Linked DNA regions of Canis lupus familiaris. The protein of the gene in region 1 interacts with the protein of each later gene in a pairwise test. Links are inferred from orthologs where the notes say so. Each region holds a gene or a part of one and is shown in the gene's direction. Other genes may lie near its edges.

The links. The genes of interacting proteins can lie anywhere in the genome.
Region 2: the proteins of TPP2 (region 1) and POLB interact in binary tests that used the Homo sapiens proteins (3 or more experiments, as listed by UniProt). The two-hybrid records come from large-scale screens. The link is inferred for Canis lupus familiaris from reciprocal best matches to the Homo sapiens genes TPP2 and POLB.

Annotation. Positions count from the first base shown.
Region 1 is NC_049243.1:52,328,459-52,332,460, forward strand, and holds part of TPP2 (tripeptidyl-peptidase 2), read left to right. Parts: intron 1-375; coding exon 376-583; intron 584-2,450; coding exon 2,451-2,570; intron 2,571-4,002. UniProt on the Homo sapiens protein: Cytosolic tripeptidyl-peptidase that releases N-terminal tripeptides from polypeptides and is a component of the proteolytic cascade acting downstream of the 26S proteasome in the ubiquitin-proteasome pathway.
Region 2 is NC_049237.1:24,043,890-24,048,819, reverse strand, and holds part of POLB (DNA polymerase beta), read left to right. Parts: intron 1-1,047; coding exon 1,048-1,118; intron 1,119-1,832; coding exon 1,833-1,919; intron 1,920-4,930.

The DNA of each region.
Region 1 (4,002 bases):
CTAACATCAATTCAAAACTATGTAATAATTGCTCTTTATAAGAAATCTATCTAAAAGATACTGTTCTGATGAAGTTATCTAGCTGACAGAATTTAGAGCTGAACAGACTTTCACTTCTGTTACTTTGTGGCATCCTGTTTCAACCAAACACAGCTGTCCTAACTGTTTAATCTGTATGTATAATGTAGCAGCTAGTGTGGTATTACAACTAAGGCATCTTGTTTGATGTACGATACAGATGGATATACCTAGCTATCCAACATTCCTGCATTGTCAATCTCAGGGAAAGAATGCATGAGTTTATAGTTACAGATAAGTCTGCACTTTTCAAGGACTTTTACTGATCTATGAATTGTTTTTTGATTTGGTGCCCAGTGATATGGACAAACAAAAATCTACCCTCGTGGATGCCCTCTGTCGGAAAGGATGTGCCCTAGCTGATCATCTGCTTCATGCACAAGATCAAGATGGGGCTGTTTCCAGTGATACCGAAGGGAGAAAGGAGGAAAGAGAAAATACTCTGGATTCTGTGATGTTAACTTTTTGGGAAACTACAAAATGGACTGATCTTTTTGACAATAAGGTAATCTTTGTGCTTCTTGTTTTGGCACAGTTCTTGGGGGTCACTTACAAACCTCCCTGGTGCCCCATTGGCTCCTCTCAGGTTTCCCAGCTCCCTGGTCAGAAGAGGAAGAAAATCTATGGAGTGGGGCTGTGCTGGGATCTGAAGAAGGCATTGTTTAGAGAGACCTTCATCTTCCCTGTTTCAGAATCATTTTACCAGATTTTTCTCTATCTGCACAGTGGCTCTTTAGCCAAACTAATTCGGAAAACAGCCTGAGAATGGTGTGTAGTGGCCTTTCAGTTAAATCCGTTCTCTCTGAAGCTAGAAAGAAGAACATCTAGAAATTGTGTTTGTGCCTTCCCACGTCTGTGCTGATTCATCAGGGATGGAGAGGGCAGCATTCCAGTTACTTTAGATGCTCTTTTTCTCAAAACCCTTTGACTTTTAAGTAATTATCATCTGGATTTATAGCTCATCAGTTTTAAAACCCAGTTTAGAAGTAGCATTGATAAAGTTTTTGGATTTGGGCTATAAAAACATTTTAAATCTCTTTAAGCTTTCTACCATAATTCTTACAGTAGGGATTCTGTAAGTATAAGTTTTTATCAGTCTTCCTTTCTTCTGAAGATAAAGAAAAATAAAGTAAATGAAATCGGTGGAGTTCTCCTAACCCAGCACAAGCCACTGTTTTTGTTTTCTAGATTAACTGATAATTTATAATAAAGACCTGAGATAGGAGAAGTTTCCTCTATGCCTGAGTTTTTCCCACCACAGTACTTTTATAATTTAACTAAATGTTTTATTTTAACTCAGAAGTAGAATGGAGATAGGCCTAGTTTTATGGCAGCTGTGCTCATTCTGGGGAAATGGGGTTAGAGTCAGGAAACTGAAGGATTCAGTGCGGCACCAGAGGTTAAGAATTTGGATCTGAAACCGGACCCTGGAGTTCACATCTTGCTTCTGCCACCTTGATCTGTATGACCCTGGGCAAGTTACTGAATTCTGATGCCTCGGTTTCTTACCTGTCAAATGGGAGTGGTGACAGGACACAGAGTTCCTAATGAGTGAGTGTTAAGAACAGGCAGGGCCCTGAGCAGTGTTTGCTGCCATTGCTGACATAGGACTGTTGCGTGTCTGCCTCATGCTCCCTGCTGTGCTTGCTGCTGGAGAAAGATGAAGGAGCCTGCAGGCCAAACACTGGATGAACAGCGTAGAAAAACTTATCAATGAGCCTGTTTGCCATAATACTACTGCTGTATTAGGGGCGATGCATTGTATTATGTGTCTGTTTATTACACTGAAAAGAATTGAACACTTTGCTTGGCTCTAGAATACAAATAAAAGTGATAGGATTCCTTTCTTTGAGATTGTTCTCTACATTCTAAAAGTGGAGGGCAAAAATATGAATAAATGGTTACAAGTATATTTGACAGATGGAATAATTAAAGGTACAAACTTATACAAAAGGAATTAATTGAAAGTAAGAATATGTTTATACAATATGATACCTTTTTTTTTTTTTTTTAACTTTATACCCTTTTGTAGTTTTGGTCATTCATAATGACTCCTTATAGTTTTGTACTTCTATCTTTATTTGTGTTTTTTGCAATCATTTATGTTTAGCTCCCCTTTGCATAAAGAGGTGTTTTGGTATAGATTCCAAGAGCTAGTGGTTTATCACAGTTTTATTTTTTTTCCCCCAAATAAGTTATTTTGTGGAATATTCAACTTTTGTTCTTTCAGAAACATTTTTGAAATTTGCTTGATGTAAAAATGTTTATTTTAAAAGCTGAACTTCTGTTAAGGCCTTGTTTTCATTATTAAAGCTATAAGCTATAAAATATAAGCATTTCATAGATAAGCTTTATTTTGTTTTATATTATAGGTTTTAACATTTGCATACAAACATGCATTAGTACATAAATTGTATGGGAGAAGCCTTAAATTTGCAACTAAACTTGTGGAAGAAAAGCCAACAAAAGAAAACTGGAAAAATTGTATTCAAGTAAGTGATACTAAATTGTCACTGTTAAGTGTCCCGTCACTATCTCATCATGTGACAAGATAGCTAGAAGACTTACAGTGATTTAGTGATGCTGACTCTTTCATGACTACTACATGTGTAATGTGAACTATAAAGTAAAAGCATGAGAGCTAGCCAGTAAGCTATTGACATTTTTTAACTTTTCTTATTAAATATTTATATGTAGCCTCAAATATTTTTAACATACGCAAAGTGCATTAGGAAGTTTCGATGTATAGTCAGAAGACTGAGTTTTCTCTATGAAGGAGGCAAAAATCATTCCCTTTAAATACATATTGGCTCAGTTCTAAAATGGTTGAGCTTCTAGAGTTTATATTTGATCTTACTCATTTGAAGTGATAGACCATTTTATGATTTTACCACATACCGTCTTCTGTACTAGTTAACTGTCAAGTGTAAAAACTTACTGAACTCCACAGAAATCATCCTAGCCTTATCTTGTCTCTGGACACACACAGGTGGTTTGTGCCTACAAGGCATAATGGGTTTGGGCACCTTAGTCCTATGCCAAATGTTGCAAGGGTCTGGTCTCTCTAAGGTATTCTTTGGATGTAAGTTCCTGGGGAAGCTTTTTATAATTAAACTACAAGTTATCTTCCCTCTTAGACCTTTTCTATGTACCTTCACTGGTGAGTCCAGATTGTAAGACATTTTAAATTAGCATCTTCAGGTCTTTGAATAGCTTAAGAGAACTCTTGCTGAAACTAATCATTAATGAGTGTAGTGTGATTCTCATTATGTCAGCTGTAATCTGTAAGCTCTTATGTCGGTAAAGGCAGTGACTCACCCAGATGTTCACATCAGGGGATGTTCTATAACGAGTGTCCCAGCCACTCTGTTCCTGTACTGTCTGTTCTCCACAGCACAGCTGGAAAAGAAAGGCTTTAGACACCTCCTGGTAAAGCCCCATCACATTTAGGATAAAATCCAAACTCCTTTTTGTGGCCCTCAACACTCCATGTGATCTGGCTCCTGCCTTCCTCCCCAGCCCCCTCTCACCAGGGGACCTCACTAGTCCAGCTGTATGGAGAGCTCTTCCCAGGTTTTCAGAGCAAGTTACTTCTGCTTCAAATTTTTCCTTAAATATCCTCTTCTCAGAGATCCCATTCTTGACCCATCTCATTTCCCAGTCACCCTGTTATCTCATCAGATTGTAGTGTGTACTTGAAATACACGGCTTAATTATGTACTCATTTGTTCATTGATTTGCTTATTTATCTTTGGTTCTCCTGAATGGAACATAACTTTCCTGAAAGTGGGAAGTGAGTTTGTATAGTGCTGTTTTCCCCATGTCTAGCACAGTGTGTGACTTACAGTCAGAATGAAAAAGAAAGAAAGGCAACTAGTATGGTAGAAGGGAACAAGGAATTTGGAATGAAGAAAGGAAGACGGG
Region 2 (4,930 bases), on another chromosome or scaffold:
AGGGAGCCCGATGCGGGACTTGGTCCTGGGACCCTGGGATCATGCCCTGAGATGAAGGCAGACACTCAACCACTGAGCCACCCGGGTGTCACTGTCTGTTTTGTTTTTTAAATTCCATATAAGAGTGAAATCATATGGTAATTGTCTTTCTATGACTGATTTACTTCACTTAGCATAATATCCTCTGCATCCATCCATGTTGTTGCAAATGGCAAGATTCGTGGGTTTTTTTATGGCTAAGTAATATTCTATTGTGTGTATTTACCATATCTTCATTCATCTGTCGATGGACTGCTTGGTCATCTATTGATGGAAACTTGGTTGCTTCCGATTCTTGGCTTTTGTAAATAATGTTTCAGTAAACATAGGAGTGCATGTTATCTTTATGAATTAGTGTTTTTTGTTGGGTAACTACCTAGCAGTAGAACTACTGGATCATATGGTTATTTTATTTTATTTTATTTTATTTTATTAATTAATTAATTTATTGGCAATTTTATTTTTAATTTTTGGGAGAACCTCTATACTGTGTTCCAGAGTGGCTGCATTAGTTTGCACTCCCACCAACAGTGCAAGAGGGTTCCCCTTGTTCCATGTCCTCGCCAACACCTGTTGTTTCTAGTGTTGCTAATGTTAGCCATTCTGACAGGTTTGAAGTGGTATCTCATTGTGGTTTTGATTTGCATTTCCCAGATGATGGGCATCTTTTGGTGTGTCTCTTGGCCATCTGAATGTCTTCTTTGTAAGAATGTTGTTTTTATTCATTATTGAGTAGTTATTTAGGTGCATTTTTAATACATGTAGCCAACTGTGCGTAATACATATCTAATGCCAGTTACTGTTGTTACTCCAGATTCTTCCATTTACATCAGCCTATGTGAATAGCTGAACAGAAAATTGAAATCTTGTAACTGAGTATGAAGTGTAGTGAAAAAGAAAGTTAGGCTGGAAGAAGTAAGCTCATACATGTGACATCACTTTGGTTTCTGCGTTTGCCTAATTGATAGATTTACATCGAGAATTCCATACATATTTTTATTATCATAGGTGCAGAGTCCAGTGGTGACATGGATGTTCTTTTGACCCATCCAAGCTTTACCTCTGAATCAGCCAAACAGGTATCACAGGATTTATTTATAATCAAATGTGCTAAGTCTTATGCAACAGTGAATATCATTTTCTACATGGCAGTTGGATATCCCGGAATGAATTTTTGTTTTAATCTTTCTGAAAAGTCAGTTGTACTTTGTACTGATTGAATTCTGTGAAAGGCAGAGTAAGTGGTTGAAAGGGATACATTTAAAAAAAAAAAAAAAAAGCAAGGGAATACATAGTGGTGTTTTTCTGCAGGGAATTAGGGACAGTCTGATTTTTGAAAAAGAAAAAAATTTAGTAAACATTTCCAGAATTATTTATTATCTATCATGGATATTTCTAAAATATCCAGTATAATATTGAGGTTTTCATTAAGGTAATATTTTTCTATTAAGCAATATTATATTAAGAAACTTTATTCCTATTAGAAAACCCATGAAAGCAAAACATTTGTGATTTTAGAATATATACCTTTTAAAGATGAAGCAGCTAACTTTTTGATTTAATGAAGCAGATAAACACAAATGATGTCTGTTTGGGGGTATCATGATATTGGTGAAGAATGGTGGCTCCTAAAAATATGTTTCATTTGATAAATGAATTTTGTGCTAGAAGAAAAAAGTACTTAGAACAGAGGAATACTAGGCATTTCTCCATAGATAATCAGAAAATTTATGTTAAAAATGTTTTTTTATTAATCTTATTAATCTTCTTATTTCCTATTTATGTTTCCACAGCCAAAACTGTTACATCGTGTTGTGGAACAGTTACAGAAGGTCCATTTTATTACAGATACTCTGTCAAAAGGAGAAACAAAGTTCATGGTAAGTACTCATTGGAGGTAACACTTCTGAAAAAATACCTTGGAAAACTGTTCAGTAACCATTCTGAGTATGTGACCTCAGTGCATCTTAGTATTACAGTCAATAAATAGGATATCCATGAAAATATACAGAAAATTAGCAGGATACTACTCCCAGAATATTTTAGTAAAGAATTTTAAGTTCCCTATTTGTAAATAATCTGTGCCATTGGAATACATAATTAGGCGTAATCTGCTCTTTTTAAAAGATATCTATAAATGACTTTGACACATCTAAGTTTTTCCTTAAAATAGCAAATATTCTCATATTCTCTGACTCAACTTCAGTAAGTGAGAAGAATTTTTTGAAGAATATTAATCTGTTACAACACCAAAAAAAAAAAAAAAAAAATCTGTTACAACACCAAAGAGAAGAAATTAGAGTATGTGATAAAAACAAATTATGTGGCTTGATAAGCAGAGGAGTTAACAGAGAGACACTTGCAAAGATTTTCACAGTGACATCATGACGAACTGTTAAAATCCTGTAATCTTCTTAGGGAATTAAGCTTTGAAGATTCAAGACAGATGGCAAATGAGTTAAAAAAGAGGTTAATAAGTGTCCCTGCATTGGGGATCCCTGGGTGGCTCAGTGGTTTAGCGCTGGCCTTCGGCTCAGGGCGTGATCCTGGAGTTCTGGGATCAAGTCCCACATCGGGCTCCCTGCATGGAGCCTGCTTCTCCCTCTGCCTGTGTCTCTGCCTCTCTCTCTCTCTCTCTCTCTCTCTCTCTGTCTCTCTCTGTGTCTCTCATGAATAAATAAATAAAATCTTAAAAAAAAAAAAAAAAAAGTCCCTGCATAAAAACCAACAGGAAGGCAAATAGCAATCTAGGACTAAGGTAATAAAAAGTGCTCACTTAAATTTGTACTTTTAATCCCCCTTTTCCCAAGTTATATGCCTGAAATGGAAAGAGAATGTGCTTTTGGAGAATGGACATGTTAATATTAGCAAGAGTCTCACTGCATAGATTTGACAGTGGTTTAAACCAACAGTAGAAGATAGTTGAGATAGATCATTGAAATATCCTGTCATTCAGAAAGTGGAATGGTGCTTGCCAGGGGCCTATAGGGAAGTGGTATAGGGAATTACTATGTAACAGATACAGAATTTCAGTTGGGGAGGAGGAAACGTTTGGGAGGTGATGGTGGTGGTAGTTGCACAACAATGTGAATATACTTAATGGTATAGAACTGCACACTTAAAAATGGTTAAAATGGCAAACTTTATGTAGTGTATATTTCATCAGACCACAAAAAATCATGTCATTAAATTCAACGTGGTGATTTTAATGGGGTATGAAACTGTATTGCCAAAGTTGGTCATATTTTATAGTGTTTTCAAAAGAATGTTGGGAAAGGTAAAAATTCTAGTCAGTGTTTGGAAGTTAAATCTATGAGCTCTTCTCCCAGATCTATCAGATTTGGAGCTTTTACTCTAGGCCCAGGATTATAGACACATGAGATGTTATTAAAAATAGGGTTTATATATGCTCTAGGAATATCACTTTTAAATTGAGATTGATTTTAATTCATTCAAAATGAATGTGCACAAATCTTACATTTAAAGAACAATTCAATCAGATAAAATCCTGAAAATAGCATGTGCTAGACAAGTTGAATTTTTTTTTTTTTCAGTCAGGAAAGTGTCCTGGTATGCCTGGGCATCTCTGTGAAAGGCCCTAGACTTTTACTGGAGAAGCACATCAGCTCTTTTGAGAGCGACCAAGAAGGTGTTTATGCAATGCAGTAGCAGACGCACTTCTTCGCAGTCTGAACAGTTTTCTTCTTTGCTCAGAGGGAGATCCAGAGGAAACATTAGCAGAAGCTAGTAATCCAGCTAGTAAGAATACAAAGAAACAAGTTGGTAGGCTGGGTATAAGGTGGAAAGGAAAGGTGGGTAGCCACAAAGATGTGAACATGAAGAGTTGCTGGCAGTGGTGGACTTGGGTAGCTGCTCAGCCGTAGAAGAGAAGACTTTTGTCTAGCAGCCTAATTCCAGTGACTTCTGCAAACCACTTTGGTTCAGATCTTATCATACATGTGATACTTGAAAGACTAAGGCCAACTGACCGATCCTAGGCCAGGGCTGGACTTGTGGAAACCTTTGCTCTGGCTGGCCTTTCCAATCTCTCAATCATACTCCTAACAGCACATCTACAGCTATCGCCAGAAAGAGAATACCTCAAATCGATTTCCAGAAGGAAACAGGTTAAAAAAAATAAGCAAGTGGGTTTTTTGTTTGTTTTTAAAGTCGAGAAAACTAAGGCCTTTATGTTGTGTCATAGGAATCCATCTTAGTGAATAGCTTGTGTATGAAGTTTGGATACTGTACATGTGTCTCATATTCTCTGAAGCTTAAAAAATGCCATGTTTGAGCCTGTTTTGACATTTATAATTAGTATATGTTAGGATAAGGAGCAATCCAGTTTAGCTTTCAAATCAATTTATTGTGGAAGCATTAAGAGGTGATTTGTTTCTAGTTGCAAAGAAACTAGATATTCTTATATCATTGAATAGGATGATCCAAAGCAGCCAGTGTGAGGGGAGGAGTCTTGGGGAGGGCTTGAGGTAAGGGAGCTAGCCAGAGAGCAGGGCTGGAGCCAGAGCAGTGAGGAGGGGGCGTGGGCATTTAGCAGAAATAGCCAAAAAAGATGAGATCTGTTTCTGAAAGAAATTGGCAGCAAAATGAATTCCACTTACAAAGTGGAATAGAGCTGGGCACCTTGCTGGCTCAGTGGAGCATGTGACTCTTGATCTCAGGGTTGTGACTTTGAGCCAATGTTGGGCCTAGAGATTATAAAAAAACAAAACATCAAAGTGGAATCAACCATTTTCATTCCACATCCACTTGATTTCAAAACCTCTTGTTGCTGTAACCACTGACTGCTGTGTTAAACATATGACCATTCATGTGTTGTTGAAGTACTCCTCAAAACATGAATTCCTTCAAACTAATAGTCACCAAACCTTAG